2 linked regions of the Ovis aries genome follow. The protein of the gene in region 2 binds, or shares a complex with, the protein of the main gene of each other region. Links are inferred from orthologs where the notes say so. Each region holds a gene or a part of one and is shown on either strand. Other genes may lie near its edges.

The links.
Region 1: TUBGCP2 (region 2) and tubulin gamma-2 chain share a complex: the UniProt entries of both Homo sapiens proteins name them as parts of the gamma-tubulin ring complex. The link is inferred for Ovis aries from reciprocal best matches to the Homo sapiens genes TUBGCP2 and TUBG2.

Annotation. Positions count from the first base shown.
Region 1 is NC_056064.1:42,455,091-42,459,463, reverse strand, and holds the start of tubulin gamma-2 chain, read right to left. Parts: upstream 2,823-4,373; 5' UTR 2,582-2,822; coding exon 2,533-2,581; intron 2,223-2,532; coding exon 2,110-2,222; intron 1,911-2,109; coding exon 1,743-1,910; intron 1,442-1,742; coding exon 1,373-1,441; intron 862-1,372; coding exon 782-861; intron 716-781; exon of another isoform or gene 368-715; coding exon 241-367; exon of another isoform or gene 1-240. UniProt on the Homo sapiens protein: Tubulin is the major constituent of microtubules, protein filaments consisting of alpha- and beta-tubulin heterodimers. Gamma-tubulin is a key component of the gamma-tubulin ring complex (gTuRC) which mediates microtubule nucleation.
Region 2 is NC_056075.1:51,124,522-51,129,014, reverse strand, and holds the start of TUBGCP2 (gamma-tubulin complex component 2), read left to right. Parts: upstream 1-1,434; 5' UTR 1,435-1,968; exon of another isoform or gene 1,969-2,082; intron 2,083-2,128; exon of another isoform or gene 2,129-2,780; intron 2,781-4,012; 5' UTR 4,013-4,045; coding exon 4,046-4,195; intron 4,196-4,493. Other genes in the region: ZNF511 (zinc finger protein 511), read right to left, coding at 110-234, 381-582, 874-947, 1,198-1,350. UniProt on the Homo sapiens protein: Component of the gamma-tubulin ring complex (gTuRC) which mediates microtubule nucleation.

The sequences.
Region 1 (4,373 bases), on a different chromosome or scaffold from region 2:
AGGTATTAAATAGGCTAAGTGGAGACATGTGGGAGGGGGGTGTTACTTTGTTGAGAGTCCTGCTACCTAAAGGGACTATGAGAAGCTTGGGGTCAGGTTCTTATTTCATACTTTGGGCCACCAAGTATGGCTTTGTTGGTTGTCTGTTCTCTGGGCAAGGGCTTGGGAAGGGCAGAGTGTAGGTGTCTCACTGGTTTGGGGAGGTAGGCCAAAGGCCCCACTTCCTCCTCCCATGCTCACCACACAGTCAGCGTTCTGGGTCAGCCTCTTGAGTGTGAGCAGTGAGTTGTAGGGCTGGACCACCACATCGCTCATCTCGTCCTGGTTGGGAAACACTGAGTATGTCTGTACCAGCTTCTTGGGGTACCTGGGGGTGAGGAAGAGGGAAACGGGCAGGTAGCAGAGTGACTTGGAAGGACTCTCATCACTGCCCCTCTTTGTCTTCTCCAGGAATAACAGGGGCCGTTCCTTTCCAAGTGCCACCAAGGTCTTACACAAAAGGAGTGAGGGCAGAATGGAGTCTTTAGAGCCCAGAAGCCAAAAAAGATAAACCTGAAGCATCAAACCTCCCTCCCTCCTAGGTCCTCTCCCCCAGCTATGCAGACCCTCTGCTTCCTGGGAGTTATTGCTTCCAAGATGTTCCCTGGGAGGCCAGGCTCTGTTCCTACTTGTAACTCAAGGGCAGTAGTAATAGGGCTTTCAGCCAAAAGAAAAAGTGACAAAAGAAAAGACATTACCCAGGGAAACAGAGCTAATGCTCTCTTCCCAAACACAGGCTTACCTGTCATTCAATCGCTCCAAGAGGTAGGAGCCCAGGCCAGAACCGGTCCCCCCAGCGATGGAATGACACAGCACAAAGCCCTGCAGGGGAAGGAATGGAGAAGCAGTCTCCAGGGATCTGGGGGAGAGGCTTCTGGCTTGTCTCATGTCCCACTCCCAACCCTCTCAAGTCTCAGGGTTTCTTCTATATCCATCCAGTGTGAGGCTCCTTGAGAAGGAAGGAGCTGATGCCATCCAGATTAGGATCTTCTTGAGGACACAAACTGAACCTTATTTACTTCACCATCTCACATCTGATACTCAAGAGTTATGAATTAAATTGCCCCCATCACACATCTGATCAGGCTCTTTGTGACCCCATGGACAGTAGCCCATCAGGCTCCTTTGTCCATGGAATTCTCCAGGCAACAATAATGGAGTGGGTTACCATTCCTTTCTCCAGGGGATCTTCACGACCCAGGGATTTGAACCTGGGTCTCCTGCATTGCAGGCTGATTCCTTATCATCTGAGCGACCAGGGAGGCAACCTCCTGACTTCCCCCAGCACTTCTCAGCTTCCTCCCTCCTCTCCCCTAAAGGGGCAGAACCTCACCTCTAGGCTGTCACTTCCATCTGCTTCTCGGTCTATGATGTCAAAGATATCTTCATGGATTTTCTCACCCTGTATAGAGAGATGAGGAGGGAGGAGACACCTATAGAGACGTGAGGATGACGTTTCTGGAGAGCATCTCCTTTCGGCACCAGTAACTCTACCTTGGGACACTGCTGACACCTCAAGCAGAGCCCCGACTGTGGCCCTCACCCCAGAAATGCTACTTTGCATAAACTTCTCTATGTCTGTCCCTCTTATCAGGGTAGTCCCCTGTCTCTCACTGTCAGTATGGTCTAATCACCAGACTGCTTGTGCTTGCCTTACCCCAGGAAGGGAACATCAAGAATCTCCCGGATGGCCACCTGGATACCTGGGAGAATCCGCTGGCCCAGTTGTTGCCAGCTCCTCCTCCATGCTCTGACAGGTATATGTTCTCTGGGTTGTAGAGTTTGGCATAGGGGGAGTTGAGGATGGAGTGGATCACCCTGGGCTCCAGGTCCAGCAGCACTGCCCTCGGGATGTAGTGCTCATCGTCGGCCTGTCAAGAGGAGTCCAGAAGGGGCCCAATCAGCTCGGGCCTGCCCAGTCCTCCAGTCCTCCCAACTCTGGCTCCTGCCTGCCCTCCTCCTTCAAACCAGCCGCCCTGGCTCCTCTGCCCAGTGGGTTTCCCAGTACCCAAGCCCTTCCCTTCAGGCCTCGTGGGCCATTGCCAACCCTGGCTAAGTCGCTGGGGGCACCTGGTAGAAAAAGACGTCCTTGCGATCAGTGCCCTCGGTGGCGAACTCCTCCACGATGCCCTCGGGGCTGATACCATGCTCGGCGCACAGCTGTTTCCAGAACTCGAACCCAACTGGGGGATGGGGAGAGACGCCTGGGTCTGCTAAAGCCCTCTAGCAGAGGGCTTGGGAGCCCAGGGTGAGGCTCAGACACTGTCACACATTCCAGGGTGGGCCCAAGACGCCCGGATCTGGGCGACGTGACAGCTCAGGGTTAGAGGCATGTCTCTCGTGCTGGGTGTCATCATGCGCAGTAGGGCAGGGGGGTTATGGAACGGAAGCGGGGCGGGGGTGGGGTGGTGGTGTTGGAGGATGCCAAGCACTCGGGTGGGACCCGAAGGGGCAGAACCGGAGACTAGCTGGGCCCGGCTCTCGTTCGCTCACTCTGGTTGCCGCACTGGCCCAGCTGCAGGGTGATGATCTCCCGGGGCATCGCTCTTCAGATGAGGCCGCGCCAGCCTGGCCAGGCCGGGCAGGAGTCACGGCGGGGACGAATGCTTGGCAGCTGGGCGCGCAGGACGTGGGGAGCGCGCGCTCTCTTCTGCTTTTGACGCGGATGCTCGGTCTGCGCGTGTGCAGTGCGGGCCTCCTCTCGGCCGGCGGCCCGGGAGCCCAACCTGGGCATCATTTTCCCCCACAGCAGTTGCAGCTGGAATTCCGCACAGGCGCGGAGTGAGGCCACGCCCCCTCCTGCCCACCCGCCCCAGCTCTGCGCCTGCGCAGTGAGACGCGCCGGGACCGAGTGTGGGGGAAGGGAAGTGAGGGAGGGGACGTCCAGGTGTCTGGAATCACCGGCGCTCTGCCTTATAGGTAGGTGAGCGGCTCTGCCTGCTCTGATAGGTAGAGGGGCTGAATTCAAGCCAATTTTCGTCTTTTAAATTTCTATTTTTAAGTTATATGTATCCAACAAAATTTACCATTTTAACCATTTTAAATTACAATTTTGTGAGGTTAAGTACATGTACATTGTTCTGTAACGGTCTCCAGCGGTCACCTACAGAACTTTGGCACCTTCCCAAGCTCTTACCTGTTGAACAGTAACCTCGCCCTTATCACCATTCTGCTTTCCGTCTCAGTGAATTTGACTAAGTGCCTCATACAAGTGGGATAACACAGTATTTGTCCTTTTGTGTCTGGCTTGTTTCACTTAGGTAATGTTATCAAGGTTACTCCATGTTACAGCATGTATCATACTTTTATTCCTTGTTAAGGCTATATAATATTCCATGGTATGCATATACCACGTTTTGTGTTTTATCAGTCCATCTGTCAATGGACACTGCCGTGCTTCTACTTAATACTGCTAATGAACATGGGTGTAGAATATCTTGTTTGAGTGCCTACTTTCAATTCTGGGTATATGCCCAGAATCAGAATTGCTAGATCATGGCAGGATTGTGTTTCCTTTATTTGAGGACTTGCCATACTATTTCTCACAGTCGCTGCACCATTTCACATTCCCACAGCAATGCACATGAGTTCCAGTTTCTCCACATCTTTATCAACACTTGTTACTTTAAAAAAAACAAAACAAATAGGCCATCTAAATGAATGTGAGGTGATATCTCATTTTGGTTTCTATTTTATTTTAAAATTTAAAAAGTTTTAAACATGCAAGCATGATTTTGATTTTTTACTATATATTTTTTATTTTGAAATTTTACATAAATGGTATGAGTGTAATATTCTTTTGTATCTTGCTATTTTCACCCTACTTTAGCTTTAGTGATTTAGCTATGTTGATACATGTAGATTCATTTTGTTCCTTTTAACTGTTTTATAGTATTTAATTGGATGGATAAAAACAGTTTATTCTATTTCCACACAGGGGTGATTTGATTGTTTCCACTTATTTGGTGTTACATCAAATGCCTACAGGAGTTATCCACTTGTGAACCTGAAGAAAAGTATTTACCAAGAGCTTGTGCAGCTTCAACTTTACCAGGTTTGGCATATTTTTTCCTAGATGGTTGTACCAACTTGTACTTTTAACCAGCAATAGCATTTCCATTTCCCTATACTCAGTTCCACACTTGGGTTATCAGATCTTCATTTTTGTCAGCTCTAGATAACTCAAAGCTGTAACTTCCAGTTAGGATCACAATCAAAGCTGATTCAATTTTCTCTTGTTACTGACCCCTGGGAATTGCCTGTTCATTTCCTTTGCCCCCCACCTTTTTTTTTTTTTTTTTTCCTATTTGGCTGTTTCTCTTAATTCAAGATAG
Region 2 (4,493 bases):
GGTTAACGCACAACCGCATGGGACGCTGGGTGATGGGTGCTGCGCGAGGGCGCCCGCACGCTCCCAGGCCTGCTGGGCTCAGCGGGCGGCTTCCTCGAGCAACACGCACCGGCTGCCCTTCCTCGGTTTATCAAAGCGGAAGTCCGCAGGGTAGAGGTGATGAGCCACCAGGTGCTGCTTCCGGTCTCTGCTGGTCCTGAACTTCTCCGTGCAGCCCTCCACCAGGCACTGGTACTACAGCAGAAACCGTGTCACCACCCTGACCCTAGGACCACTGCCTCACCCAGTCTGGACCCCAGGCTCCAGCACCATGAGGCACACGGCTCGGGGACAAGCCCCGTGATGACTGCCCTTGGCCTCAGGGGGCGAGCGTCACTCACCATGTCCTGCCGCTCGGCCAGGATCTGGAACAGTGAGTCGTGCCACTCCTGGATGTGGGTGTCCAGCAGGTGACCGGAGGGGAAGGCCCGCCTGCAGTAGGAGCAGACGTTTCCGTGCAGAGTGTGGTAGTGGTGCTCGTAGTCCTCCAGGGCGTCAAACGCCTGGCAGCAGCCGGCCACCTGACAAGTGAACTCAGGCACCCTGGCAGAAAAACGCCTGGTGGGGATGCAATTCCTCGGAGGCCAGGACGCCAGGCTCCCTGTCACCACTCCCCTTAAGTGGCTTCGGATAAAGCTGATAAAGCTTCGGATTTTCTCTTGCGATCCCAAACCCTGCCTTCATTACAAATACATCTTCACGGACAAGCAGGCTGGTGGAGAGGCCAGCCATGCTGGCTTCGTCGGTGGTCCCGAGCAGACACCAGGGCGGGGCGAGCAGAGGGAGGGGTGAGGAGTGGGCAAGAAGGGCCCTGAGCTGGGCCACAGCGCTCACCTGGGCCTCTCCGGCTCCGCAGCCACCTGCGTAATCACATCCTGGAGGTAGAGGTGCCTCTGCACGTCCCCGTCCTGCGGAAGACAGCTCTGAGGGCTCGCACCCCCGCCCGCCCGCGCCCCCAGGACCCGGGCCCGAGCCCTGCCCCCCAAGACCCAGGCCCCGCCCCCAGGACCCGGGCCCCGCCCCCAGGACCCGGGCCCCGCCCCCAGGACCCGGGCCCCGCCCCCAGGACCCGGGCCCCGCCCCGAGCATTGGCCCCGCCCACCTGGGATCCGCTCCGCCCCCACCCGCAACCGCCTTCGCTTTCCTCGGCTCACGCACCTCGAAAAACTCGTGCTCTCGCGGGAAGCGGACCTGGCGCGCCGCGAAGCGGAAGGGCGCGTTCCCGGCCAGGGCGTCCCGCTGCACGGGCAGCGGCGCGGCCGCCCCAGGGGCCCCCGCCAGGCGGGCGTGCAGCGCGGGCGGCAACTGCATCGCCCTGCGCGCCGGCGGCCGCACGGCCTGCGGGCCACCGTCCGCGAGCCGGCCGGGGCGGGGCCGGACGTGACGTCACGCGGCACTTCCGCCGCCGCCGCGGGCGGGGCCGCGGGCTTGGCGCGCTCGGGTTCGGGCTTCGGCGCGCGGCCGTGGTGAGTCGGCCTCGGGGCGGCCCTCCCGCGGGTGGCTCGCGCCCCTCTCCCCGCCCCGAGCCCCGCAGGCTCCTTCCGGCCCTCGTCGCCGTCGCGCTCGCTCCCCGCCGCGCCTCCCGCCTGAAGGGCTGCGCGGCCTCCGCGCCGGCCTTGTCTCCGGGACGGAGCCCGAGCGGTCTCCGGGAGACCCGCGGTTCGCTGTGTCGCTCTGCTGCGCCCGGCAGCCCAGTCTCTGTCGCCGGGGTCTGTGGGTCCGTGGGCGGCGGCCAGCAGGGAGAAGCACTCGGGAGCGTCAGCAAGATGCGCTAGACGCTCCTCGGAGCGGTGTCGAGCGGGCGCTGCCGCGCTGTGGAGGGGGCTCGGTCGGAGTGTGGCCCCCCGGCCTCTTGCCCAGGGAGGGTCAGGGGCGCCCTTCCAGCGAGGCCGCAGCCGGGAAGCCCTCTCAGGGCGGTGCTGCCCGCCGGTGAGAGCCGCAGAGCTCGCGGGAACTGTTCCCAAACCCAGGCTCCTGGGAGCGTCAGTGCTTGTGATGTGGGACGTCCGCTCTTTTCTCCTGCAGGTGTGGGGGTTCACGAAGGTAGTTTTTACACAAACGTTTGCTTCCGTGAGCTTTTTTCACAGCAGCCCTGTCCACCCGCTTGTGTCTCTTCCGCGGGCAAACGCAGTGTCCTTGGCATCCACGTGTCCAAAGCGGTCCTCGGGCCAGCTATTGCGGGACACCCCCAGGCCTTGGGAGCCTCTTAGAATGTGGGTGAAGCCCTTGGAGTCGCAGAGGCCCCGTGAGAGCTCTGTGTGTCTTCTGGTTCGCTTGTCATCTCCAGCGCCGCCTCGCTGCGCTCTGTGACTGGTCGCGAGGTTGCCGTGGTTCAGGCTGCTGGCCCTGCTTCCCGGCCGGTGTTCTTTTCCTCAGGTAACAGCCGTTTCCGGTGATCGGCCGTGTGCAGCAGCAGCGGTGTTCACTCCTGCTCCTTCGGTAGCGACAGTGCAGACTCTTAGGTGCCGCCTTGTGTCTCCACGACAGCTTCCTGAGTAGGGTCTGGTACTCATTCTCCTTGGGAAGAAGCCTACAGAGGGCAAGCTTTTTGTGCAGGGTCCTACAGCCTGGAAGCCCCAAGTCAGGGTTCAGCCTCAGCCCCATGACCGTAGTCCTGTGAGCGCCTCCTGATGTGAAAAGTACACGTGCTGGTGACTTACGTGCCAGCTCACCCTTGCTGTTGGCTTTCTGGAGATACTCTGCCTCTGGCCAGCGCTGGATGTCTCTGTTTGACGACCGATGTACCTGTACAGGGAGCTTGTTTTCCGTCACTTGGGGTTAGAGTCTCTCTCTGTGTGGTTACAAGTCGACACGCGCGCTGTGGGCATGTGTGCTGAGGCTCCCCCAGCTGATGTCTCACTCATAGCTTGTCTTCAGTGGAGCTGTTGGCACCGTGGTTCTAATCTTCTTAGGATCACGGAGGGTTTGAGGATCTGTTGAAAGACCTCCTCATAAAAATCAGAAATAATCTTGCCTGTAATTTCCCAGGGTCTCCTGTGGTACATGATCCCAAGTTATGAATCCTGCGTAGGTATGTCCAGACGTTTATGCGAAGCACGTAAAGCCTGCTCATGTTTGTTTTTTGAATCTAGTTGTCCGCCGTTGTCTTAGTGTTAATAATAATGGCTAACTGGACCGATCATCAGTGGGAGAACAGAAGTCCCCATGCAGGCCACTACTGTCTGCTTGGTGGGATCTCATTTACCGTTTTGGCCTGGAAGGTTATATATCCAGTGAGGAGACGTTTGGACATCTGGTTGACAGGGCAGGTGGGGCTGAAGGGGAAGCCCACCCAGCTACAGTGCGTGGTGGATGTGAACACCTGGCCTGGGCGAGCAGAGGCAGCATCTTGGTTACCAGAGTGGCAGCTGGGGCCTCGTGGCGGGAGCCAGGACGGGAAGTGGCTTAGGCCTGTGCAGAGCTCCCTGTGTGATCAGGACCCCTGAAGGGCAGGGGCTGCTGTGTCTGTACAGCTGGGGCCAGAAAGTGCTGGCTGCCAGCTGAGGGAGCAGCTCCGCGCTGGCCCAGGGCCCTGTGAGGCTGGAGTCACCCAGAGGAAGGAGGCCCAGGCCTTTAGCCCGCATCCGCTCTCTGTGTGTATGCCAGCCCCCAGCAGGGGAGCAGCCCGGACACTGGCCGCAATTGCCGAGGCTCTGAGTCAGGGCTCCGATTCCCCCAGAGCTGCCCACTGAGACAGCCCCCACCAGCAGGGGCGTGGAAGGGCCTCCCCAGGAAGGGGCCCCACAGGCTGGTCAGTGCCGGCTGTAGTGGGGTCTGCCCGGGGACACTGTGGGCCCACCAGGCTGGTCAGTGCAGGCTGTAGTGGGGTCTGCCCGGGGAAGCTGTGGGCCTGCAGGCTGGCTCATGTGACAGTTTGCCTTCTCAAGACCGGACATTGGCCAACTTTGATTGCTTTAAACTTTGTTTATAGGTAGGGATTTGTTTTTATAAATGGCTTGTCTCTTACCTTTAGGGGAACACGTTGTAATGTCTCAGAGCCAAAATCATGAGTGAATTTCGGATTCACCATGATGTCAATGAGCTGCTCAGCCTACTGCGGGTGCACGGAGGGGATGGTGCCGAGGTCTACATTGACCTGCTGCAGAAGAACAGGACCCCGTACGTCACGACCACGGTGTCTGCACATAGCGCCAAGGTGAGTGCCGCGCCAGGGCTGCGCTGGGCGAGGCGGTCCCGACCCCCAGGGCTGCGCTGGGCGAGGCGGTCCGGACCCCCAGGGCTGCGCTGGGCGAGGCGGTCCGGACCCCCAGGGCTGCGCTGGGTGAGGCGGTCCCGACCCCCAGGGCTGCGCTGGGCGAGGCGGTCCCGACCCCTAGGGCTGTGTGGGGTGAGGTGGTCCCGACCCCCAGGGCTGTGTGGGGTGAGGTGCTGTGTGGGGTGAGGTGGTCCCGTCCCCCAGGGCTGGGCTGGGTGAAGTGGTCCCATCCTCCAGG